Linked DNA regions of Daphnia pulex. The protein of the gene in region 1 interacts with the protein of each later gene in a pairwise test. Links are inferred from orthologs where the notes say so. Each region holds a gene or a part of one and is shown in the gene's direction. Other genes may lie near its edges.

The links.
Region 2: the proteins of AP-3 complex subunit delta-1-like (region 1) and vesicle-associated membrane protein 7-like interact in a two-hybrid assay, tested with the Homo sapiens proteins (2 studies listed by BioGRID and IntAct). The link is inferred for Daphnia pulex from reciprocal best matches to the Homo sapiens genes AP3D1 and VAMP7.

Annotation. Positions count from the first base shown.
Region 1 is NC_060021.1:781,190-793,291, forward strand, and holds the end of AP-3 complex subunit delta-1-like, read left to right. Parts: coding exon 1-104; intron 105-435; coding exon 436-509; intron 510-667; coding exon 668-767; intron 768-850; coding exon 851-1,045; intron 1,046-1,109; coding exon 1,110-1,258; intron 1,259-1,328; coding exon 1,329-1,574; intron 1,575-1,634; coding exon 1,635-1,797; intron 1,798-1,869; coding exon 1,870-2,087; intron 2,088-2,154; coding exon 2,155-2,636; intron 2,637-2,715; coding exon 2,716-2,869; intron 2,870-2,970; coding exon 2,971-3,481; intron 3,482-3,548; coding exon 3,549-3,821; intron 3,822-3,897; coding exon 3,898-4,065; intron 4,066-4,139; coding exon 4,140-4,265; intron 4,266-4,336; coding exon 4,337-4,426; 3' UTR 4,427-4,749; downstream 4,750-12,102. Other genes in the region: uncharacterized protein LOC124194089, read right to left, coding at 4,936-5,094, 5,155-5,265, 6,453-7,163; TM2 domain-containing protein CG10795-like, read right to left, coding at 10,295-10,449, 10,506-10,636, 10,729-10,810, 11,022-11,229. UniProt on the Homo sapiens protein: Part of the AP-3 complex, an adaptor-related complex which is not clathrin-associated. The complex is associated with the Golgi region as well as more peripheral structures.
Region 2 is NC_060018.1:6,532,185-6,544,236, forward strand, and holds vesicle-associated membrane protein 7-like, read left to right. Parts: upstream 1-6,585; 5' UTR 6,586-6,672; intron 6,673-6,807; 5' UTR 6,808-6,877; intron 6,878-6,946; 5' UTR 6,947-6,953; coding exon 6,954-7,160; intron 7,161-7,225; coding exon 7,226-7,363; intron 7,364-7,425; coding exon 7,426-7,516; intron 7,517-7,603; coding exon 7,604-7,671; intron 7,672-7,741; coding exon 7,742-7,834; intron 7,835-7,983; coding exon 7,984-8,055; 3' UTR 8,056-8,201; downstream 8,202-12,052. Other genes in the region: U4/U6 small nuclear ribonucleoprotein Prp4-like, read left to right, coding at 139-497, 557-676, 740-1,138, 1,199-1,475, 1,566-1,622, 1,686-1,772; tumor protein p63-regulated gene 1-like protein, read right to left, coding at 1,910-2,103, 2,175-2,302, 2,396-2,536, 2,738-2,914, 3,136-3,319, 3,397-3,607; uncharacterized protein LOC124188813, read left to right, coding at 5,463-5,505, 5,570-5,662, 5,728-6,194; ribosomal RNA-processing protein 8-like, read right to left, coding at 8,202-8,409, 8,473-8,549, 8,611-8,770, 8,837-9,266, 9,348-9,363; tubulin--tyrosine ligase-like protein 12, read left to right, coding at 9,869-9,936, 9,992-10,055, 10,134-10,264, 10,334-10,527, 10,598-10,658, 10,758-11,019, 11,082-11,272, 11,342-11,405 and 2 more. UniProt on the Homo sapiens protein: Involved in the targeting and/or fusion of transport vesicles to their target membrane during transport of proteins from the early endosome to the lysosome. Required for heterotypic fusion of late endosomes with lysosomes and homotypic lysosomal fusion.

The DNA of each region.
Region 1 (12,102 bases):
TGGCCAGAAAGAACCCCAAAAATTATCTCAGCCTGGCCCCAATTTTCTTCAAATTGATGACATCATCTACCAATAATTGGATGCTCATCAAGATCATTAAATTGGTAAGCCTCCGTAATGATGGGGTACAGTATACTGGGTATTCTAGACTAACAAAGTTTAATGGTCGAAAAAGAATCGATGTTTTCGTCAAAATTGTTCCATAATCCGATACGTTCTTATTAGTTGAATGCAATGACACAGTGCGATTCTCGCCTAAGCAAGTGCATAAGCCAACCACTTATAGCCATAATAAAAAGGTATCAGTCGTGAAAAGAGCGATAAAATTGTAAGGCTTGACTAGGATTTCATTTCCTCCCTTAGTAGATCAATATTGACCGCATTCCCTTGAAATTTTTTTTGTTTTCACTTGCTTATTATTTTGTGTATTTACAGTTTGGAGCTTTAACACCCTTAGAGCCTCGCCTTGGCAAAAAGCTGATTGAACCTTTAACTAATTTGATTCACAGGTAACAACAAAAAATGTCAACACCTTCCTATTTGATTTGTGCAACACTAGCTTTGCGCTAGACTATCAATTTTGATCTGTCGCCATATTTGATTATTTGCTGCTTTCATTCATTTTTGCCAACATTATTTTTAATCGATATCGCATAATTTTTTCCAGCACTTCAGCGATGTCGCTGCTCTATGAATGTATCAACACTGTCATTGCGGTTCTAATTTCCATATCGACCGGCATGCCTAGTCACAGTGCATCTATTCAGGTACCACCAACCGATCCCTTATCGTTTCAACATATTCGATATTTTCAAAAGAAATCAACTCATTTTCCATTTTTTTAATTTAGCTGTGTGTTCAGAAGTTGCGTATTTTGATCGAAGACTCTGATCAGAATTTGAAATACCTTGGTCTACTAGCCATGTCCAAGATCTTGAAAACGCACCCGAAATCCGTTCAAGCGCACAAGGATTTGATCCTGCTTTGCCTTGATGATAAAGACGAATCGATACGGTTACGCGCTCTAGACCTTCTCTACGGAATGGTTCGCTTCACATTTTCTTTAAAAATAAACCAATTTTTAAATTGTTTCTTTTGGTTTTGTAAAGGTGTCAAAGAAGAACCTCATGGAAATTGTCAAGAAACTGATGGTGCACATGGATCGAGCAGAAGGAACGCAGTACCGTGACGAGCTTCTTTCTAAAATCATCGAAATTTGCTCTCAAGATAATTATCATTTCATTACCAATTTTGAATGGTATTCTAGAGTACTCGTAGTGAATGAATTGATTGAAAAACTCAACCGCTCCATCTCTTCCTTTTTTTAGGTACATAAGCGTTTTGGTGGATTTGAGTCGAATGGAAGGCCTCCGCCAGGGTCACGTTGTGGCTTCTCAGCTGATGGATGTAGCGATCCGCGTTCCTGCCATTCGTCCATTTTCTGTTGAACAAATGGCTCTCTTGTTGGAAACATCGAGTGGCTTTGCTATTCGTGGAATCACCGGACAAGTGGCCTTCTCTTCCATGTGCGAAGTGCTTTACGCAGCCGCCTGGATCTGTGGAGAATTCGCATCGTAAGGATTTTTTGTGTAACTCCGTTGGAAACAATTAAATAATATCTTTTATTTTTATAGGCATCTTAAAGAGCCCGAAGCAGTTTTAGAATGTATATTGAAAAGCAAAGTGACTGTACTCCCTGGTCACATTCAAGCTGTTTTCATCCACAATCTGATGAAGCTTTACGCTCACATTCTTCACAAAGCATCCACGGCGGATGAGAAAGAGAAAGCACAATTGGTACTAAATTTTGTTTATGGCTTCATCCAATTCAAATTCTATTTCAACATTTCCCTGTTTTTGTCTTGAAAGATGCTGTGTGTCCTTCAAGAGCGACTGACTCCGTTCATGCAAAGTGCCGATTTGGAGGTTCAGGAGCGCGCCAGCACCGCTGTCCACGTCCTCAAAGTGATTTCCAAATTGCAGGACGCTGGCGAAGGAGACGTTGTCAACGAATTGATGCAGCTCTTCCAAGGCGAGCTGAATCCAGTAGCGCCTAAAGCTCAGCGCAAAGTTCCATTACCTGAAGGGTAAGCCACAAATTTGAAAAAACCGTTTCGTTGAGAAACTTTTGGTTTACAATTTCTGCTCGTTTAGTTTGGATTTGGACGCCTGGATCAACGAACCGGAACCAGAGTCGGACGAAGAACCCAAAGCTGACGGAGGAGGGTCCCTTGATATTTTCTACAAGTCGAGCACATCCGCGCCCGACTTCCGCGACGGCTACCAAGGCGAAGGCGTTTACGACGAAGGTGACCAGGCCCAGTCAGACGACGTCCGCCAGCAGACGCTTCGGCAGCAGCAGGTGCGCCGCGAAGCCCTTCGCGTCGAGCAGGCCAGCAACCCGCATTATCTCAAGGGTTCCAGCCAAGCGCGACGGTCACCTTCGTCTTCCTCGCAATTATTATCTCCGACCGAAGAGATCCCCGTCATGTCCATCAACTTGTCCGTTCCACTTCAGGTCTCCACTAGTAGGAAACTCTCCGACAAATACTTGGAGCTCGAACGAAACAAGGAAGCGTCTTCCGATTCCAAGAAACATCGATCCAAGCGGGACAAGAAAAAGAAGAAAAAGAAGGGTAAATACCTGTTCAATTCAACAATATTTTTTATTGCAGTGTAATAACGTTTGATTGTTATCCTCTCTGGTTATAATAGGTTCCAGCGACGAGGAAGAGGCCGCCGCCGAGATTGTTGCTCCACAAGTGATATCTACCATGGAGTTGCCGGAAGGAGCGCGATTGTCGGACTCTGAAGACGATGGGCGACCACAGACGGACCCCCACCGCGCATTGAACATTGATTTAGAAGAGTATGTTTTTTTTATTATGGGCTTGGCTTTCATTTGGTTGTTATGTAATTTCACGCTCTACTTTTTGGGAATTTCTTTGCCATTTGCCATTTTTCCCACAGCCATTCTTATCCGAAAGAAAAACCGGTGGTGCGAGTAACCCTGGAACCGGCAGCTGCGCCACCAATCCCAGCCAAATCCAAGAAACCCAAGTCGAGAAACGGGGTAGAAGGTCTCAAGGAAGAGAAAGCCAAGAGAAAGAAAACGAAACAGGAGAAAGAGGAGAATGCACCGCCGCCGCTGCCACCGACGACTAAGGGCGTTAACCTCAATGACGATCTTGACTTTTGGTTGTCGGCCAGCAACGGCAACGACGCCAAGGAAAAGAAAGTCGTCGCGAAAGGTGAACTGACCATCGATGAAACTGCCACGGCGGCCGACTCCCAGAAGACGGCCAAGAAGACAAAAGACAAGAAGGAAAAGAAAGACAAGAAAGAGAAGAAAGCCAAAAAAGAAAAGAAGAAGAAGGACATCAAAGACTTTGATGACCAAAACAATCATCTGTCGGATAGTGTCATTGCTCCGGTCGCGATTGCGTGGAAATCCTTAGTAGATGACAAACGTCTCGTCATGGTAAAAATTCAACCATAGGTAACCCGAAATCGTTTATAGTTGTTCATTTCACTTTTGTTTGTTGCAGAAATATCGTGTTGTCGCTGTACCTCACGATCAGCACCAAGTATTAGTCCCGGTACAGCTCCACAATCGCAGTGGCAAACTGATTCATTCGATGATCTTTAATGTGGTCGACTCTACCAACGCCCGTCTATGCCGTGGGCAGCACGAGCAAGACGGGGTGGAATTGCCTCACCAGTTAGCCAGCCAAAGCCGAGTCGAAATTCCATTTGCTTTCGCTGTCGCCGACAGCACCATGCTGCACCAGCTCAGAGGTGTTTTGACCTACATGACTCAGGTATCAAGTCTACCAAATACTACTAATTTTCCCCCTCGGGTGATATTAATTGAATTCTTTTGCTATAAATGTGAAGGGAGAAAACGGATCTGTCTCGGAAAAGTTGGATTTCAAACTGCAAATTCCATGTAGCGTCTTCCTCTCTTCTGACCCCATCAGTGGCGATCAATTTGCCGAATTATTGGCTTCCCAGGAACTGATCGGCAAAGACAAGGCAGTGTGCGAAGGAATTGCTTTATCTCAGGTACAGCCATTTTTTAAAGATTGGTCTTTTAATCTATTATTAATTTTTAATACGTGAATTCTAAATGTCTATAGGCGATTGATCGTGTCAGTAGAGAGCTTAATATGCGTTTAGTCGAAATGGATAGTTCGGGAACATCCGCCTCGTTATACTGTCGCCACTCCACCGCTCATCATCTCTGCATTCTCATGAAATCACAGGTATTTGCAGCTAGAAAATGATTTAGGTGTGTTGCCAGATTTTTATTTAATAATCTATCAATTGTAATTAGGCGGATGGTCGGCTGAGCATTTACGGAAAGAGCAGTAACCCGTCGTTGGTATCGTCGGTCATGGAAGAAATGCGGCAAATGTTTGCTTAATACAAAACGTGTCGCTCCTGTCGATCCGGTTTGACGCATTAAACCTAAGATGATGTTTCAATGCAAAACCTGAAGGGAAGTTTATAACCGAAAAGCCGAAAAGAGAGAAAAAAAAAGAGCCTTTTTGAAGTTGTTAACCTATTCCAAGTTGAATTCTAATGTCAATCCAATCTTAACATGTTACTGTATTTTTCTAAGTGGATAAGGGTTGGGCGAGATGGTGAAGCGCAATTGGATCGGTGGTCATGAATCATCTTGTGCTCAGCTTCCGTAAACTTCAAAACAAACAACAGCGAAAGAGAAATATACAATTTGGTTGATTATCTTAATGTATAATTGGCGTCCTTTTGAGACTGTTTAATCTGAGATACAGAAAGGAAAGAAAGAAAAAAAACAAACAGTACAAAAGCGTATATAAATCCGATTACAAGCATGCATAGTAAAATCCAGTTTTACTACAATGGGTATACCTGCTAGAGAAAAACTAAATACCTGGGCGTAACAAACTTTTAGTAGCATAAGAAAATGAGAAATTCAGTATTAGATATGACTGTCGCATTGTGGACATCCACCGCCTCACAGATGTAAGACCCACAATCTTGGGGTTTCAATTGGCGGATGGTCAGGTAAGCCGAGTCGGAAACGACGGACACTCCATAACGGGGATCCTATCAAATGAAATTAATTAAAGTATAGAACAAATTAAATATTTCTAGATAATAATTTACCTTGTGGATCATTTGAGTTCCAAAAGCGATCGGTGTTTTAATTGTAGATTCCAGCAAATTGTTTTGCGTTTCGGCCACACTTCTGTGTTGCGTTTTGTACCATTGAAACTCCTGCATTGTAATAAAACAAATAATTATGACTAGACATTTTACGAAGAGGTAACTTTTTTAAAAGTTGACAATGTCTTTATAATAATCTAGGTTTAGTATTTCACGCTTTCTGATGCGGAAGGTCCTTTAGCTACCAACCATTAGAAAAACGAAATCGCCAAAAAGGTTTTTTCCATCTTTGAGACTGACATCACAAAAAATGTTAACTTTCTTGCACGTCGTCTAGACGAGCTTTCTTATTATGCAAGTAAGAAACTTCTAATTTGCAAGTTGTGAAAATACTAGCAGGTTTCAAGAATTAGGAGTCAAGATGTAGTAACAGCTAAGGAAATGCTTCGTCAATCTAAAAGAATAAGATGAACAGAAGTGCAATATAAAAAGATATTGTGTTGTTGCGTTCAACCATCCAGCACACGTTCTCCCTGGACATTTCTCTTTCGTTTTTAAAAAACAGAAGGAAAAAGTCGAACGAAACCATTGCCACTTATTATTTCGCCTCCGGTTTAAGGATAAACTAATGGCGTGTGTTTCACTAATTAAAATCTAAGAATGAAATCGTTTAAAGTTCCATTTGGGCCCCCATTTTTCACTCTTCCAAACTATCCAACAATTTATTATTTAAATGGAGTTTTTTCGTGGCGTTATTATATAACTTGAAGCACAGCATATACAGACGTGGGTAATGCAGCACCCCATTACATGCATCGCACGTTCTCCGCCTACAGCGCCAGCGCTGGAGAAAGTGTTGGAGAAAGTAAAAATCCCCCGGCTGTGTCTATCGCTGCCGCTTTTGGAGTTGCTGGCCGCTCTTCAAATACTATTCTTCAATTTAGGTGATGGCTTTTGGCTATATGCAGTCCATAGATAACCACATGTTTTTTTTTTCGCATTGCCAGCAATGTAAATATCCCTTTTCACGCATAAGCAAACAGCAATATCCATTTCCGTGCTGGGACATGCGTAGAAAGCCGCAGCACACTATCTACACAGCTGGTTCACTATATATTTCTCCTGACCAACACAACTTATTGCCACCCATAAAATGTTTCTTTTTGGACATGACGGAACTTTCCTCGAACAAGAAAATGTAGGCTAAAAATTAAGTTACGCTCTAACATATCCGCTCTTAAAGTAATTTAAGTAATAGCCAAATAATTCAATGCAATAATTGGAAAATTCAAATTTACCACTGGTTGCTGAAGTTGCTGCTGCTTTGGCCAAGAGCAGGTAATGGTCAAGTCGTGCAGCAGTTTAGGGCAAGATGAAGTTCTGGTTAGCAGCCGATAAGGTTTGGCCACCGATTTTTTGACAATTAAAGATGGAGACTGTTGCTGGCGACTCTGAATATTCACCGCCTGTTTGATGGGCTTCGAGTAAGGCCATGGCCAGCGATCCTGAGCAGGACTACCAGTGACCGAAGTACCGATGGGAGATTGATTAATCTCTGGGCTTTTGGCCTGTCTGACGATAGTGGTGTGATCGGGATTCAAATTAGGTGAATTGGCCCTTCTCCCTTCAGTTTGAGCCGCCGGTGGAATGAATTCGGAATGCGGAACCGGCGAAAAATTAGGGACGAAAAACTCATCCGCATCCAGGAAGCGAATTTTAGAGACGCCAACTGCTCCACTGTGAGGCGAAGAAGCCAAAGTCGGACTGGGATTGGCTGGCCGGAAACTGGCCACGACCGGCGATTGGATGGAATGCTGCTGGTCGTTGTCTTCCGATTGCGATCGGAAGAGAATATCTTTCAACGATCGGTACTGAACTAAATCCCTGCTCGTTTCCACCGGGAAAAAGACATTGGGCGCCACTGATTGGATCAACACTGATGCGATAAGAACAAACAGCAGCAGCAGCAGCTTAGAAAATACGGCGACGTAACACACGGAAGAGGACATGCTATTGACTTGCGCTGCACAACTCTTCTCAAGACGTTCTGACGAGAAAGCTGTTGCTTTACAAGTCCAGCAAAGCCTGCAGGATGACGGCGACAGCACACACACTCACAAACATTCAGCCCGGAGATGAAAGTCGCCTCTTAGCTCTTGTTGTTGTTGTACACCCTGTTGTCCGATGGAATCGAGTTGAAATGCTTACAAAAGGGAGGGGGCAGTGCTGCGGAGAAAGTTGACTTGGATGATATTGTATGTATTTTCACTTGTGTATTTCTTTATACAAGCCAAGGTACCTCCTTTTTCACAAGACAAAATAATCTGAAAAAAAAATTCCCGGAAAAAATTCGCGGTGAACGCAACAGTAAATCAAAGTCTGAAATCGAAAAGAAATTGGTTTCACGTTACCTTTTTTTTTTCGTTCGACCATTTAGGAGCTATAAAAGCAAACAATCGGGCTGTTATCAAAAGAAAATTCTTTAAACTCAAAAGAGAAAACTTTAATTCCATACAGCTAGTTTTTAGTGAGATTATTTACTTAATTGAATTAAAATAGAAATAACTAGCCAATTTTATTTTATGGGTGTTTAGAGAAACGTCATATCCACTAAGGATTAATTTTCCGGGAGCGGGAGTTTCAATTCTTGTCAATTTAGTTTGATACCACTTGGGCCACTGTGCACACAGAAAAGCTATATGGAGAATAAACTTACATACATGTTGTTTTGTCACTACAATATGTGAAACCAAATGAGCTTTGAGAAGAGAAACTTGTCGGTTGCGCTCGGCACATGACCAAGCAATCGACCGCATACTTTTTGTTAAAAAATACAACCCATATATTGATTGATGATATGATTGGATTTATATAGTACAGATATTATACGTTGGGTGAATTTGTCTATCGTTTCCCATAGAGAAAAGCTAATCTAGAAAATAACCAATAATACAGGTTGCTAGTAATGCCGAGTGATTTGAGTCCAAAGAGAAAGTAACTATATGGTAGTCATCATGTGGTAGTCACCATAGCAGTCGTCAACTACATATTGTTTACCAGTTTATTGATTATAAGAAATGCAAAAATGAATAATAGAAAATTTTTTAATGTCGAAATAATAAGAAAGATTTTCTGACATTAGCAAATAAAAATCTAAATTGCTACCTTTAGAAGATTAGAAGTAATGAAATCCGCAACGCTGAAGGAATAAATGAACGCGAAAACGGAAACCCTTTAGTGTTTTGCGTGAGTTTTGACTAGATTATACGTAAATTGATAACTTATTATAAATTACTATTTTTTCTAAACCTTTGGAACGGAGCAATCATCTATGTTAGTCCATAGCAGCATGATAGCAGGTCCTTAGTCGTTCAAGTCCCTGCTCCCTGGGCGGGCATCCCAGACGTTTTCCAATCCAGATTTAATTCTTATCCATTTATTTATATTTTCGTGATATGTGCTATTTACAAAATATGATACTGTTACAGGTTTATTAAATTTTTAATTGGTTAGAGTTTAGGTGCGCAACGAGAAGATTGCCCTAATGCCCTACTCCAGCAATGTCTTTGATATGAGGCTCAGAGGTGGCAGCACTTGCACGAGCAGACTGATGTTTACAAAATAAGTCACACCGACTCGGCATCGTCTGCAGCAAAAAAAAAAAAAAAAAAAAACTACTAAACTCTTTTGGCCAATTGTCATCCACTAAAGGTTTGTTAAATTAAAAACTAAGCTTATAGTCTTTGTTTGGCATTTGTCATCTCTTAACCAGCATTTAGCCATGTAACGGTTATTTCTTATAAAAAGGTTTTCACTAGGTTTTTATTCCTTTGCTGTTCTGCCTTATGGATCCTAATCAGCTTCAATCTTTTTGGCTTCCAATAATATTTGAAGCTGGAGCACAAATGGAAGAAATTGACAAACAACAGCAATGGCAGGTAAATTTGTGCAAACCATAATTATATTCTCATTCAAATGATTAATCATGCTGAAATTACAAAGATTGTAGCTGCCATGTTAGGATGCAGTTCTCATCTTGAATGGAACCTAAAATGATTGCATCACCTCCCTGGTCCAATCCATCTCTGCTCCCGCTGCATTGACCGATGTCTAAAACCGAATATGTGGAGCGCTGCATGAAGCAAACTTAATTTATTCACAACACTATAATGATGCTTTTTTTGCTGCTGAATGATGATTTTTTAATTATTAAAATTTCTTTAACATGACTACAGACTGCACAAAAACTGAGTGATCATCACTTATTCTTTTATTCCCTTATTCATTTACATTGCGTGTAAAACATTTTTATACAGTGTCTTGGAAATTTGCAACTTGCATCAGTCCTACGTTAAAATTTACCTACTAGGATTGTGACCCGGCTATATGTGCGTAGACCTGATTCAGCTGACGGCTTTGGGGATTTTTATGTGATACCAAAATTTATGTAGCTAGCAAATTTCGAAAAAAATAAATAAATTGTGTTGGCATCTCCGCTGAATATCTGACCACATTCAATGATGAGCTAAAGCTTCATCGGGCACGGCATGGGAGGAAATAAGGTTCTTTGAACGAGTTGCAGTCTTTTTCTTAACCTGGAATTCATCCCCTGGTTAAAGTAGTTTGTAACATCATACGGATGGCAGCTCTTAAATGTACCAGAAGGAAAAGTGCCCACTCTCTTCTACTGAGTATTAAATAATTCCATGGTAGTAATAGTCTATAACAAGCATTATATCATTTTTTCATTGTCACTGTTTCAGGAGTTTTTCGGGGTGTACACGAATTACTTGTTAGATCCAAGTTGGTATTTCGCCTGAAGGAGGGATTAGCCTACTATATGCAGTTGTCTGTGCTTTTTGGCGACGCATCAGAGATGTTCGACAGTTCGAGTATTCCGCTTCATTTGTCGGTTAAGTAATATTTGCGTATTCAACATTTGTACGTTATCCAATAGTGTTTTACGTACATCATCAGGGTACTATTAAGTCAGAAAACATAACTTGAGCTATAATTTTGTTAAAATTGAAAATTAAGTTTATACATATCACAGAAAATCTAATTATTTCAAATCTAAATTTTTTGTTTGAAACAGGAAAAGTAAAAAAAAAAAAAATGTATGAATTAAAAATTCACAATCTCAAAGTTCTGGCCAATCAAACTGAGGCATTCGGTAAGTATCATTATCAAGTTCTAGACGTGAAAGCCTGGGTCCAAAGTAGTTAATTATATAATGAGATCCATCAGCAGGTCCAACAGTTTGAGTAGCAATCAATATGATGTCCACAATTTGACCTATTTTTAGGTTAATGTTATTCAAATGTTTATTAAATGTTGTATAAAAATATTACCTAGAAACATGCAACCCAATGTGCACAGTTTAAAAAGACCTATTGCTGGGTACCCCAGGTAGAATCGATCAGCACCAAACATTCCAAGAAACACTGAGAGTAGCAACGATGTCTCAAATGAGTATCCATTTCTGAAATATATAAATAATCAATACTGGTAAAATAGATTGCAACATAACATTTGCATAGGTGTGCAACTAAAGGTAAATTTGAAATTTCATACGTCCATAAACATGGAATTTCTTTTGGAAAAGTGTTGTTTCCACTCTCCACACATTGGATCCCATCTGCTGCCATGCATATAGCTGTGAACAACAATACAGATTAGTGTAAATTTATTGTTACAATTCAGTCTTTATAGATATATTTCAATAGACTTCATTCAACAGAAGAAACAAACAAGTTTCTTCATTGTATACAAAATAACAGGCCCCTCTGAGTAAATTACAGGCTCTATTCTAGTGTTGTATGATGTCAACAAATAATTATGTTTTATTAGGTGGTAAAATCATATACTGTGAGCCAAGTTGTTTTTGCTACATCCTTTAGGCTGTTGAGTTGACGGATCGATTTCGGGACTGCAGAAATACTGCTCCAGTTGCAAAGACGAACAATTGGTTTCAAAGGTACTGGTTGAAAATGTACGAACTTCACTTTCAACACCTTGTAATGTTCTTAGAAACACAAAAAACACGATTAATGAAGAAACACGAGAAATCGGCATGATTTGAAAAGAGCACTTTTGATCATAATAAACGATAATAATTTCATGGTCTGACAGGCGATATATTATCAGATAATAATCGATTTCGTACATAACGGATACCGATTGATACTACCACGCCATCTAGCAGTTTAACGAACAACTATGCACCTGAGTCCAGCCCAAGGGGGGAAATCAAAAAGACCCTTTGAAAAAAGGAGGCAGACCGCAGAGCCGCTGAGCTGAAGGCGTCAAATGAACTGGCAGTCATCGGAGTAGTGATGGCAACCTAGTTTTTTTTGAAAACTAGGTATTACTATTACTAAATACCTAGTATTTGAGAAAAAGTAGGTATTACTAGGTAGTAATACCTAGTAACAAAATAAATTAAACTAGGTATCGGAAAAAAAAACTAGGTTTTTACTATTACTAGGTATAAACTAGGTAACTAGGTAAAGTAACTAACTAGGTAAAAATACCTAGTTACCTAGTTACCTAGTTTGGATATTTCTCTGTTTATACTTCGAAATTACATAAACAACACAAATACAAAACTTGCAACTGAATTTTTTTCTTTTTATTGCAATTTCTGTCCCGCTAAGATCAATGATAGGATAGAAAGGACTAACGACTAAGCGATAAGAACGGAAATTGAAAATTAGAGACTGAGAATTCAGATTCAGAAGTCAAAGTTTTTGTTGAATCGGCAAAGTGTTTGCGATTCTACCAAGACAGGGGAGACATTTATTTTCTTGCCTTTGCAAGAAAGACCACTACACGAAAAAAGACGCTCTGCAGAGGCAGAAGTAGCTGGCATGGCGAGATACTGCACGTAATCCCCGATTTTCAGACATTTTAGGGCGGGGCCTGTCAGAATTGTGAAGTGAAACAGAG
Region 2 (12,052 bases), on another chromosome or scaffold:
TTGTAAAAGTCTATTTAAGATTTAAGAACGATCGTATTGACAACAAAAACGTGACAAAACGAGGTGTCGGTGTCTATAATATTTAAACATTGAGATCAAAACAGGAAAAGTTCAATTAGAAAACACATTTCTTTAAACATGTCGTCCACAACCGGTTTCGCTATCACAATTGACGATGGGGAAATTCGGAAACATCTTAGGCAATTAGGTGAACCAATAACCCTTTTTGGTGAAGGACCTGCTGATCGCCGAAATAGATTAAAAGAGTTACTCTCGGTTCATGGACATGATTTGATCGATAGAAAAAAAGAAGATGAAAAAGAAATTGTGAAGGTTGAGAAAGATCAAACTGAAACCACTTGGTATCATGAAGGTCCTGAATCACTCAAAATTGCTCGTTTGTGGTTAGCATATTATTCCCTCCCCAGAGCAAAACAAAGGTTATCTAATGTGAAACTTGAATCTGAAATACCAGAATCAACAAGAACAGCCAAAAGGTCTGAAATATGCTCTGTTATGAAAGCACATCCCAATTAATATATTTTTTCTTTTCCAGGCAGGAAATGGTGAAACGGATGAGAGGTATGAACATCATGTGCAGCCAAGTTGGTGATGGAAGACCAATATCATATTGCCAATTCAGCCCAAGTGGAAATTTGTTGGCCACTGCCTCCTGGTATTAAATATTCTGAGATTGTAAGAGAGTTAATCAGATAATAAAAAACAATTCATGTTTTAGGAGTGGCCTGTGTAAATTGTGGAATGTACCTGACTGCACTTTGTCTCATTCATTGAGAGGCCACAAGTGTAGTGTTGGAGCAATAGTCTTCCATCCACAAGCCACCTTGAGCTTAGAACCTTCAGAATTAAATATGGCTTCATGTTCCATGGACGGCGCAGTCAAATTGTGGAATTTAGAAAGTGAAGAGCCGATTGCTGATATGGAAGGACATGCTCCGCATCGAGTGTCAAAAGTTGAATTTCATCCTTCTGGAAGATTTTTAGCTACATGTGTTTTTGATAATTCCTGGAGGCTATGGGATCTAGAACAGGGTGTAGAAGTTCTTCATCAAGAAGGGCATTCCAAACCTGTATACAACATAGCATTCAATGTTGATGGTTCAGTGGCTATCACAGGGTACCAACACCTAAAAATATGTTAACATAATATTTTAATTACATGTGGAATTTTTTCTAGTGGCATGGACTCTTTTGGTCGAGTATGGGACCTCAGAACTGGGCGCTGCATCATGTTTATGGAAGGTCATTTAAAAGGTGTCTTGGGCATCGATATATCACCTAATGGCTACCACATAGTAACTGGAAGTGAAGACAATACCTGTAAAATATGGGATTTACGTAAGAGATCCTGTATCTATACTATTCCTGCACACACAAATTTAGTGTCGAGCGTGAAATTCGAAAGAAGTTCCGGACAGTATATTGTCTCATCTTCATATGACTGTACCGCAAAGGTATGAATAATCATTAATAGATTTTCTTTCTGCATTCTTTAAATGTTACATTTGTCATCTATATATATTTGAAATAATTTTCTGCCCTAGATATGGGCGAGTAACACTTGGCAACCATTGAAAACCCTTTCGGGACATGACGGAAAAGTAAATTTTTTAATCAGATACGTTTGTGATGTGTTTCTCAATTTTTTTATTTTATTGTTACAGGTTATGGCAGTTGATGTATCGCCTGACGGGTCGTTCATCGCCACAGCCTCGTACGATCGCACTTACAAGCTTTGGTCCCCTGAATAAATGTAGAAGTATAGAGTGCAGCTTCGAAGACGACCATGCTTGTTTGATTTCTTTATTTGTGTATTGGACTTCGAAAACATTAATAAATTAAATACAAAAAAGTTGAAGCCTATTGGTTGGGAAGATTGGGTGGAGTATTAAAAACTTACTTTCCCTCGTACTTTGTAAAATCCGAATTGACTGTAGTTGTGTACTAATGCTGGAAGCCCTAAATACGAATTCATTATAATTGGCTTGTATTCAACTAAACCCTGGTACTCGTTTTGCAAAGTTCGCTGTAGGTTGACTGTAAAATCTTTAACGTCGAATATAGCAGGAGTCGTGTGTTCAGCTAAAATTCATAGGTAAAAATAAGAGTTAACATCCATCGAATAATGATTAACAGAATTGCAATCTTTTTACTTGAAAGTAGTGGATGCGATAAAAACGTTAACCAGGGAATTGCCTTGCTCCATGGATTCCATAACTGGGTAAAATTGGGTTCTGCCGGCACGGACCCAAACAAAATTCGGACGCCGTTTCTTTTCAATCTAATTCCAAAGCAAGAACTTTCTTGAAAACTTTTGTTCGACATTTCTACATTATAACGTATCAATGTGTCATGTCTGATTTAGTTATGTTACCTGTCGGAAGTGAAGTCAGTTTGAGTTTCTTCACCTGTTGAACGTTTATGTAATAGCTCCGATGCCGATTGACTATTAAAGTTACCTCGTAGAATAGACGAGAATCGTCCTGTTATAGAATCTGCGAGGTATTGGAATTTCCTAAAGTATATTCATATAAAAATACGACAAAAGCTAAATTAATTTTCAATCATCCGATATAAGTAGACACTAAAATCTTATCTCATTTTTACACAGAGAAACATTTACTTGCAATCCACATGATTGTGACAAATTTCAGTTGATTGGTAACCAATGCCCATCAATCTGAAGAAAAAAAAAATTTGAACGGAAAAAACTTACGGTGTGATTGAGTGTGTTGGGTATTCAATATTCCCAATAGTAAGGTGAATAATTTTCTGGAGTGCATAGGTCTCGAAGCTTTGAAGAGTCGTGGTGATGAAGTCGTATTTTACAATGAACAAGGTTCGAGAATAAAGCAAAATCAGTCGTTCTTTTTCGTTGTCCCAGTGATCGACCCTTTAGTCCTCAATAGAAAACAAACATCAAAAGATGAAACAAAACAGATCAGAAAGTGAAGTTTTTTTTCAAAACGAAAGAAGCGCGGTTTTTTCAAATAAGCTACGGTACGAAAAAAGAAACAAAATCAATGTCGTGTGTGTTTCGTCGCGTACTGGAATATTGCAATTATTTTTGAGCGCTAGTGAAAATACTTGACAACATTTAGTTAAAAGTCTTACATAGTTAGCAACCAACTTCCTACGAAAACCCCATGGTTCTCAGGTTCTCCTCGAGTCAAGATTCTCTTGCAATTTTCGATCGCGAACATGTAATTTCTTGAACTGAAGTAGCCTTGTGAGATGATTTGACCGTCACCACCACGAGCTTCAGCGCTGAGAACAGTTGGAGATAAAGGAACATTTTCTACGGTATAGTAAAACAATAGCTTTGTCAGAAGTCAGCCCATCATAATATTTTTAAAAAAGCTTATAGAATTGTACCGCAGTTTGATGAAGGACCGCAGGGTTGGAGTTCAGCTATTTTCTTTCTTTCTTTCATTTGATCTGCTTCGTTGTTTGAAAAAAGGTTTTGCTTTACGATTTTTTGGTTTGAAATAGTGCCTGAAGCATTGTTTAAAGATAACGTTGCTCCGCAAAATTCCGGTAGATTTGGCTCATCCAAGGTTGGTGTAGTTTCTGCTTCACTAAGCATGATTTTCTGAACAAACAATCGAAAAATTTGATGTTTTAATTTTGGAAGTGGAAGAGATATCCGAATGTTAGTGTTATCTGTTATGTACAAAAATTTTCGGCAATCTGCTGTAGGTTTTTATTTGCCTTAAGTAAATAAAAGTGAAGACTTTCGAGGGGTTTCACCACAAAAAAAAAAAAAATCTTCGTACACCTTGCCAAAAAAACTCAAATTTTAAGTCTATCTAGACGCACGCCCGTAATTTGAGCAAACTAAACAAATTACACAAAAATTACGCAAATTTGAGCGGTGAGCCTCTCGAAGTATTGGAACCAATTTTTAATTTAAGAAGTCGACACTCAATATTTTCCAATTAATAAGAGCTTCCTGTTCCTCGTATCTATGACCTCTCGTTCTTCTTGATTTTTTTTCTTGATTTTTCCATTGAATTTGAATTTATTGCACATGAATTGTTTTGATAAAATTGAGAAAATCCAGATCTTACCAAATACGATTCGGTTAATTAAGAGGAGCTGATAAGTTGGCTCAAGACACTCGAAAGTTAGACCTTCACTCAGTAAATGTATCAGTGGGATCGCGCAATGTTACAAACATCTTGGCTATCAGCCATGCGCATCGACTTGCGCAATGCAAACATCGAAAAAAAAAAAAGTTTTAGACGATCAATACTTTTCTTAAGTTATAATTTTCGGCAGGATTCCAATATTCTTTCATTTCAACTCAGTAGGGGAGGGTGGGATTAAGCGGGACATTTTAAGCCCCCATTTCCCTTTACTCTAATATTGAAAGGTGTAGCTAAAAACTTTCCGGTACTTAAGTTAATAGTGTTGTTTATTATTGTATGCCAATATTTTTTCAAATATCTTGGCCTCCGTTATGAGAGATTTAAAATTTGTAAATTTATGGGAGGAGCCAAAATATTGGGATTTTTTGGGGAGGAGGGCTCATAGGTTAGGCGGGTTAGGATTAAGTGGAACAGGGTAAGCCGGTATTAAAGCCAATAAGCAACGTGTGCTAGGATTAATTATCAGTTTAAAAATATATATTTTTCCCTCCATCTTTTCCATAATTCTAGAAGGCCCAAAGGTTTTGAAAAGCAAGTTCAATAAAGTTTTAATAGAGTAGACTAGAGTAGAGAAAACTTTAGAGGAGAGGCGCTGTTTGAAAGTTGCTATGGTTTGGCCGCTGGGGTGCCGACTGCCGAGCTCTTTGGGTTTTCTGTAGTGACTCTAGTCAGAGCAATAGATACCTGGTCGGTTCTCGGCCGTGTTGGCTTCCCTATCCCGGTTTTAGGGTAAACGTATCCCCGATTTTCAGACATTTTAGGGCGGAGCTTGTCAGAAGTTGTGAAGTGGTAAAAATGAAACAGCGCCATCTAGTGATAAGACGTTGACTTTCAAATAATACTTTCGGCGGCCATTTTTGTGTAATATGTGAATACGGCGGCCATTATCGTGTATTACGTGAATGAAGCCTAACCATAATTTCTGTAAAAATGGTTGGCAGGTGTGCTGTTCCTGGTTGTAAATCAACATATTTCAAAGGAAATCAAAAAGAAAACGAGGTTACCCTGTTTGCAATTCCTAAAACTTCATTATCTAAATGGCGAGAACTAATTCCATGTAGTTATTTGACGAGCACCTCACGTATTTGCTCCCGTCATTTTGACGAAAGTGACTTCAAATCAGGGATTTAAATTTTGAACGTGTTCCATCCTTTCAAACGTAGGAATCGTAATGCTGGAGCAATTCCCAAACATTTTCTGATAAATGGTATTGATATTACATTTCCTGTATAATCTGTAAAGCACAGAAACTGAACCATTTTCATTTTAGATACACCTAGTCGACAAGCAATGCAAAATGTTGATGGTTTCAAATGGAGAAATAACCTTAATGGTATTTTTAAATATGTTTATTTTGTTTAATATCAAATAACGCAATTCTTAAATATGTATTGTAGTGGAAACAAATGCTAGCAATGCATCAGTAAGGAAACGACCAAAAGTAGACAAAATACCTACTACGTCTAAGAGAAAAAAATTTGACAGTACAGGTATTGATAATAGTTCTCGTTACATTTTATTTATAAGAGCAATTGCTTTAAATTTTATCTGATAGCACCCTCCATGGAAATTATTAAAGAATCAATCAACATTCCCCAGGCTGCTGAAGAAGCAATTTTTGATCCACTTCCAGATTCAATCAAGGAAAATCTTGCTGTTGTCATGGAAGATACGACAGTTGCATCACCTTCTATGGAAGCTACCTCTACTATTCAAGAATCAATGGACACTCACCAGGCTGCTGAAGAAGCAATTTTTGATCCACTTCCTGATGTAATGAACGAAAATGTTGCTGTTGTCATTGATGATTCGACAGTTACATCACCTTCTATGGAAGCAAGCTCTACTAATTTCAAGTCTAATTTTGTGACATTTCAGTCACTAGTAACTTCATCAATGGTACCAAAGAATTGGACATGGTATTTTGATCAAATTAAACAAACGATTTTTTGCATTTCGATGGATCGACTACCAAATGAAAATTATAATGTGAAAAGTGTACATTTTCAAAACAAGAAGTAGTGTATTATGTCAACGGAACAATAAACAATTTACACAACCAAACAATAAAATGTAAGAATGTTTGGACACTTACAAAGAATAAACAATTTACACAACCAAACAATAAAATGTAAGAATGTTGGGACACTTAGAAAAGACCTAGAGGTTTGACAGTTGGATACTTCTACCTTTTTATTTTGTTCACTTCTTGTAGAAAAGTAAGCTGTGATTGGTCAATGAGTTTTTCATAGACCCTTCCTGATTGGCTGGCTTCACGTAGTACCTGACACACTCACTAGAGGCGCTCATCAATTTTTCCAAATCGGACCACGTTTACCCTGAAACCGGGATAGGGAAGCCAACACGGCCGAGAACCGACCAGGTATCTATTGCTCTGCTCTAGTGAGTGAGCAAACCATAGACTCTATAACGTGGTTCCGACAATAGTCAACATTGAGTCATTGACTGGAGTGGATTGTCATTTGATAATTTAAGATAGGTTGTTTAATCCTTAATACTTACAAAAATTAATTATATTCGTCCTACAACTATCCAAAACTATAGCAACGTCTTTTGAGTGTCATAATATCTGCTCCTTCATAAGTTCTGTAATCCATCGTGAGTTTCTCTGCAGTTTTTTATACACGTTCGTCAAGTTATTGATGGGATTGAAGATCGTCTGAATCGTCGAGAAAGTTTTGTTGGTATGAGATTAGTTGACCCATAAAAAATATTTAGTCTTTATTACATAATCTCATATGTTAATTTTTTAGAAGGAAAATGCCGCTGTTATATAGTGTTGTTAGTAGAGGAAACACTGTTTTGGCTAGATTTGCCAATAATTGTACTGGAAACTTTTCTGAGATCACAGAGCAAGTTCTAGCTCAAATTGGACTTGATGATTCAAAAATGACCTACTCTCATGGATCATTTTTGTTCCACTATATTTTGCAAGACAGAATAATTTATCTTTGCATCTCAGATGATGTAAATCTTTTTTTTATTGTCTGCAATTGTAGAAGATGATATATAAATAGAAACCTTTATTTTAGGAATTTGAACGTTCAAGAGCATTTTTATTTTTGAATGAAGTTAAAAAGAAATTTGTAAATACTTTTGGAGCCCATGCATACTCTGCTCTACCATATGCTATGAACACGGAGTTTTCGAAAATTTTGGCAGGGCTAATGGTAAGTCGTGAAATTCTTCTCAATTATTTCAGACATTACTGAGATTTTTTTTTTAAAACCAGAAACACTTTTCTGAATCTCGAGATATCGATACCGTTTCTCAAGTTCAAGGAGAATTGGACGACTTGAAAGATGTAATGGTGAAAAATATAGGTAAAGTGTAAATACGAGCCAGCAAGAATTTGCAACCTCCAGCAGTAGTAACATAATACCATTTAATTTAATTTTGCTCATTATTAGATTCCTTAGCGGCACGTGGCGAAAGATTAGAATTACTGGTTAATAAAACCGAAAGCCTCAGCGCGTCAGTATGTATATTTTAGATATTTTTAAATTTTACTTTGGTTTACCAAGTAAGTTATTTTAAATTGTTTTTAGGCTGTTACTTTCCGGAAATCAAGTCGAAATTTGGCTAATTCCTTGTTCTGGAAAAACATAAAAATAACAGCAATTACTGCTGCCGTGATTTTGGTATGTTATAATTGTTTTACAGTTTAAATAACTATCTTTATTTCATTCGTAATTTTTTTTTTTTTACCATTTATCGACCTGAACTACATTCTAAAATTCGGAATAATATTTTAAATGAAATCTAATTGAAAATATCTATTTTTCCGTAGGTTATTGTGTATTTTGTCGTTAGCATAGCATGTGGAGGATTGAATTGGCATTCATGCATTCAAAATAGTTGATGCACAAATTCTGCGCGTGATCTAATTTTTCTTTCAGTTTTTAAAACAAACATTCTATTTCAACCAAATACGTTTCTGTACATTCGTAACATATAATGAGTCGGTTTCTTTGTTATGATGTTCAACATTTATGTGTACTTTTCTATTCATCGTTTTTTGTACAGACAAGGTTTCAAATATATTCTTGGCATAGTTGCTTTGGGACTCATGTTTTGAATCTTGCTAAACTTTGCGAGAAAAAAGTATTTTTGAACGTTATTTTCTTTGAGTTGGAATCCAAAACGTTCAATTGTTTTCAAGAAATCATTAATATTGCTACATCTGCTTTCAACTTCAGCTACACACAAAGTACCACTGTAATTTAAAAATTACATCAATAAAGATTATTATTTTTTAAAATCTGTATGTAGCATTTACCCAATTTTAAGGACTCTATTAGCTTCCTTTAAAAAGTCATGTATGTTGGAACCCATGAGAGATAAGCAGAAGACCACCTGAACAAGCAATATCTGTTGTTTGATCAAAATTTATAATGCATAAATAATGCTGAAATACCACATCAACAGCTTTGGTTGCCAAAGGAACAGAAGCCATGTCACAAGCAGTAACTTTGTCATTTGCTGCTACAAGGTCAAAAGAGTGAACTTTATTAGGAATGGTGTTTGCTATCTGAGCTTCACCACAACCAAAATCAGCTATCACCCAGTTTCTAGGACTAAAAAAAAAATTTTCATTTGTTAAATTAAAGCAATTTTTTAGCACATGGCTTGTTTTATTTTACCCTTTCATAAGATCAGTGATGATGATATCCAATGGGTTGACTGGCCATTTCAAAACCTGGTTCTTAAACCCCTTGTGGTATATATCAAATGATTGGGGGTCTTCTTGGAAAAGTTCCCATGCTTCACTACTACTTTTGGTATACAGCTCTTCATTCAGATACCTGAAATTAAATGTTATGATAGGCTGGAATATTGTCAACAACAACAAAAAATACCTGAACCGTGCAGATTCCAATCTTTGTCTTGCATCACTAGCAATCGATGCTCTCTCTTTAGTTTTTCTTTGAGGAGCTGAAAGTGGTGTTCTTTGGTGAGCAGAATTAGAATTTACCTTCTGTTTGGTTAGTGCAACCTTTAATCGTTTAACATAAGCTGAAGATCTCACATTTTTGGGTTTTAGTGAAATCTTTTTTGATCCCGAAATCGACGCTGAAAATTTTAGAAGTAATGGGAAGAAGAAAATTGATACAATTTTTGTGTCAGGATAAAATAATAATCATTTAAGGATACCTGTCTTGCTTTCCATTTTTTAAATTATGCGAATTGGGAAATGTATAAAACTTGAAAACCACGACCAGACCAAAACAGACAAGACACAAACCATGTGCAGGTGTTACAAAATATGCGCGTGCGTCATATTTCTTTTACAATAAATTTTTCTGTTTTTTTTTTTCAATTTTGAAAACAAAATGACAAAATAAATATAATTCTATCGAGAGATAGTTTTCTTTTTTCTTTTTTAGGGTTTGTTGGAGTTGGAATTTTGGATTGGAATTGCATTTTTTATTTTTGCTCGACGCATTAAGTGACAACGGTGTCTGCCTAGCAGACGATCGACAGTCTGCTTTCTCAACGTGGAAAGAAATAATTCAAGTTGTTTTTGACATATGCGAAATTGCGAATCAACTGAAAAGTGTTTCGTATTATCTGAAATACGTAAAGTGGTTAATCATTAAAGGTATATGACATGGCTATCGAAAATATCCTTACTAATAAATGTGTTTTTAATTGAATTTAAACTTTGAAGGGAAATGTCCTCTTTGGAACTTGCAGATGGCTTGGAAGGACTGAAAAGTTTTATAGCTCTCCATCAAGCACAGTAAAATCATTACTATTATTATTTATGTTCATGTATCACATACAAGTGTCTTAAGGTTAAAGTCCTCTGGTGTTCCTGAAATTTATTGGGAGACCTTGTATTGGAAGCTAAAGAATAGCGTAAGTTTCTGACAACTTCCTGAAGAATTTACACAAATTTGGTTATGATAATTAATTCAATTCCTTTTTAATTTTTAGATTTTTGATGCTGGGGAGTGCTTTAGCTTAGCACAAATTGATGAAGATGATAACGTTGTGAGTAATGCTTTCAACAAATGGAAAGTTCTAGTTACATGTTCAGGAGGTGTTGTTGCAGCAGATCCAAAGCAGTAATGTTCTTCGTGTAAATGTCTGTATCATGTATATAACAGAATTTTAATGTAATTTTATTTTGTTAGTATCTATCTTGTTGACCATGCTTGGACATTTCGACCAGATCAAGTTAGGAGCCACTTGCTTAACATCACAGGCCTCCTTGCTAGGATGTGTAACCTCATGGATGTTGCTTATTCTGCTGAGAGTGATAATATTGAAGTAATTGTTAAGAAGGTTATGGCCAGCATGTGGAAGTACAGTCAAACATATAGCATTGGTAGTTAATATGCTATTGCTTTGTTTGTTTTTTTACTATTCTCAAAATTTAAATTTAAATTTAATATAAGGTAACCAAAATCTTGAAGCCGAGGAGCGTCTCCCCATCTGGTACATTTTGGATGAATTTGGGTATGTTACTTTCTACTTTGATCTTTGCAGTAGTTCTTTTTTGTATTTCAGAGTTGTATGCTGAATAATATTAATACTTTGTTTATTCTAAAATATTAGATCACGGATTCAACATTCTGATCATCCGACCGTTCGTCTTGTTCCATTTTTCTTTATGTCCGAACAAGCTACCTATTCGATCATGTTCCCTTTGAGTGATCTTGATGAAAACGACGAAGTTACCCGTGATTTCGTTGAAGGTTCAGGAGCTGATGAAATTAGTCGGTCAGCATTATTACATCCGTGGTCCGAGGAATTTTCTCAAGAATTCCTTGCTTCCGTTGATCTAGAACAAGTCGAGCCTTCACCGGACTACTTCTCCGTAAGCTTAACATCGAATAATTCTGTTGATCGTTAAAAATTAATAATATTAGGTTTTTAAAGGCTAGTCGAATGACCGAAACGCTTCCGAATGCCGATATTGAAATACCTGGCCTACCGAGTGATCGACCTATCCGCACTTACGTTGAATATGTGTTCATTCGCGACTATCTGAAACACCCTAGATTTCAATTGGTAGATAATTCTGATGAAGCAGAAATTCTTTGGCTCTCATCACATTTCAAGGATTTCAAGTAATTGAAAACGTTTAGAAATTAGAACTAATAATTACCTCAAAAACTCCCTTTTCTTGACTCTTTTAGGCAGCTAAGCGAAAACTTTCCGTTTAAACGGATTAATCAATTTCCCTGTGAACATCTGCTGACTGTATGTTTTCTGTGATTCTGATTTTCTTCCAACTAATAATGTTATTTAAAAAAAAAATCAGGTTAAGGATCTACTTTGCGTTATTGCTCGAAGGTCCAGTATTAGTTCCAAAAGAGAAATTTTGGAAAACGAACCATCTTGGCTTCCAACGACATTTAATTTGAAAACAGAGCTTCCTAAACTAGTGGCTTACTTTCTCGCGCAAGAAAAATTGTAAGATGATTTATCCCATTTTATATTTATCGATTTTATTGTTTGGGTTTTTTGTTTTGTTATGAGTTGTTGCGATCCATTTATTTCGTTGTATTGTAGGTTTTCTTTTTTCTCTTGGCAGGGGAACACCGAATTATTGGATCATTAAACCATGGAATTTAGCGCGTAGCATGGACACTCACATCACTGACAATCTCGATATGATATTACGTTTAGCCGTCAGTGGACCCAAAATTTGTCAGCGGTATATAGAGAGGCCGGTACTTTTTTATAGAGAAGATGTTAACGCCAAAGTCAAGTTCGACCTGCGCTACATAATTCTTCTCAGTTCAACCGAACCTTTGAAAGCCTTTGTCTATCAGCGATTCTGGATTCGCTTCGCCAACAAGCCTTTCGAACTGGATCATTTTGACGAATATGAACGCCACTTCACG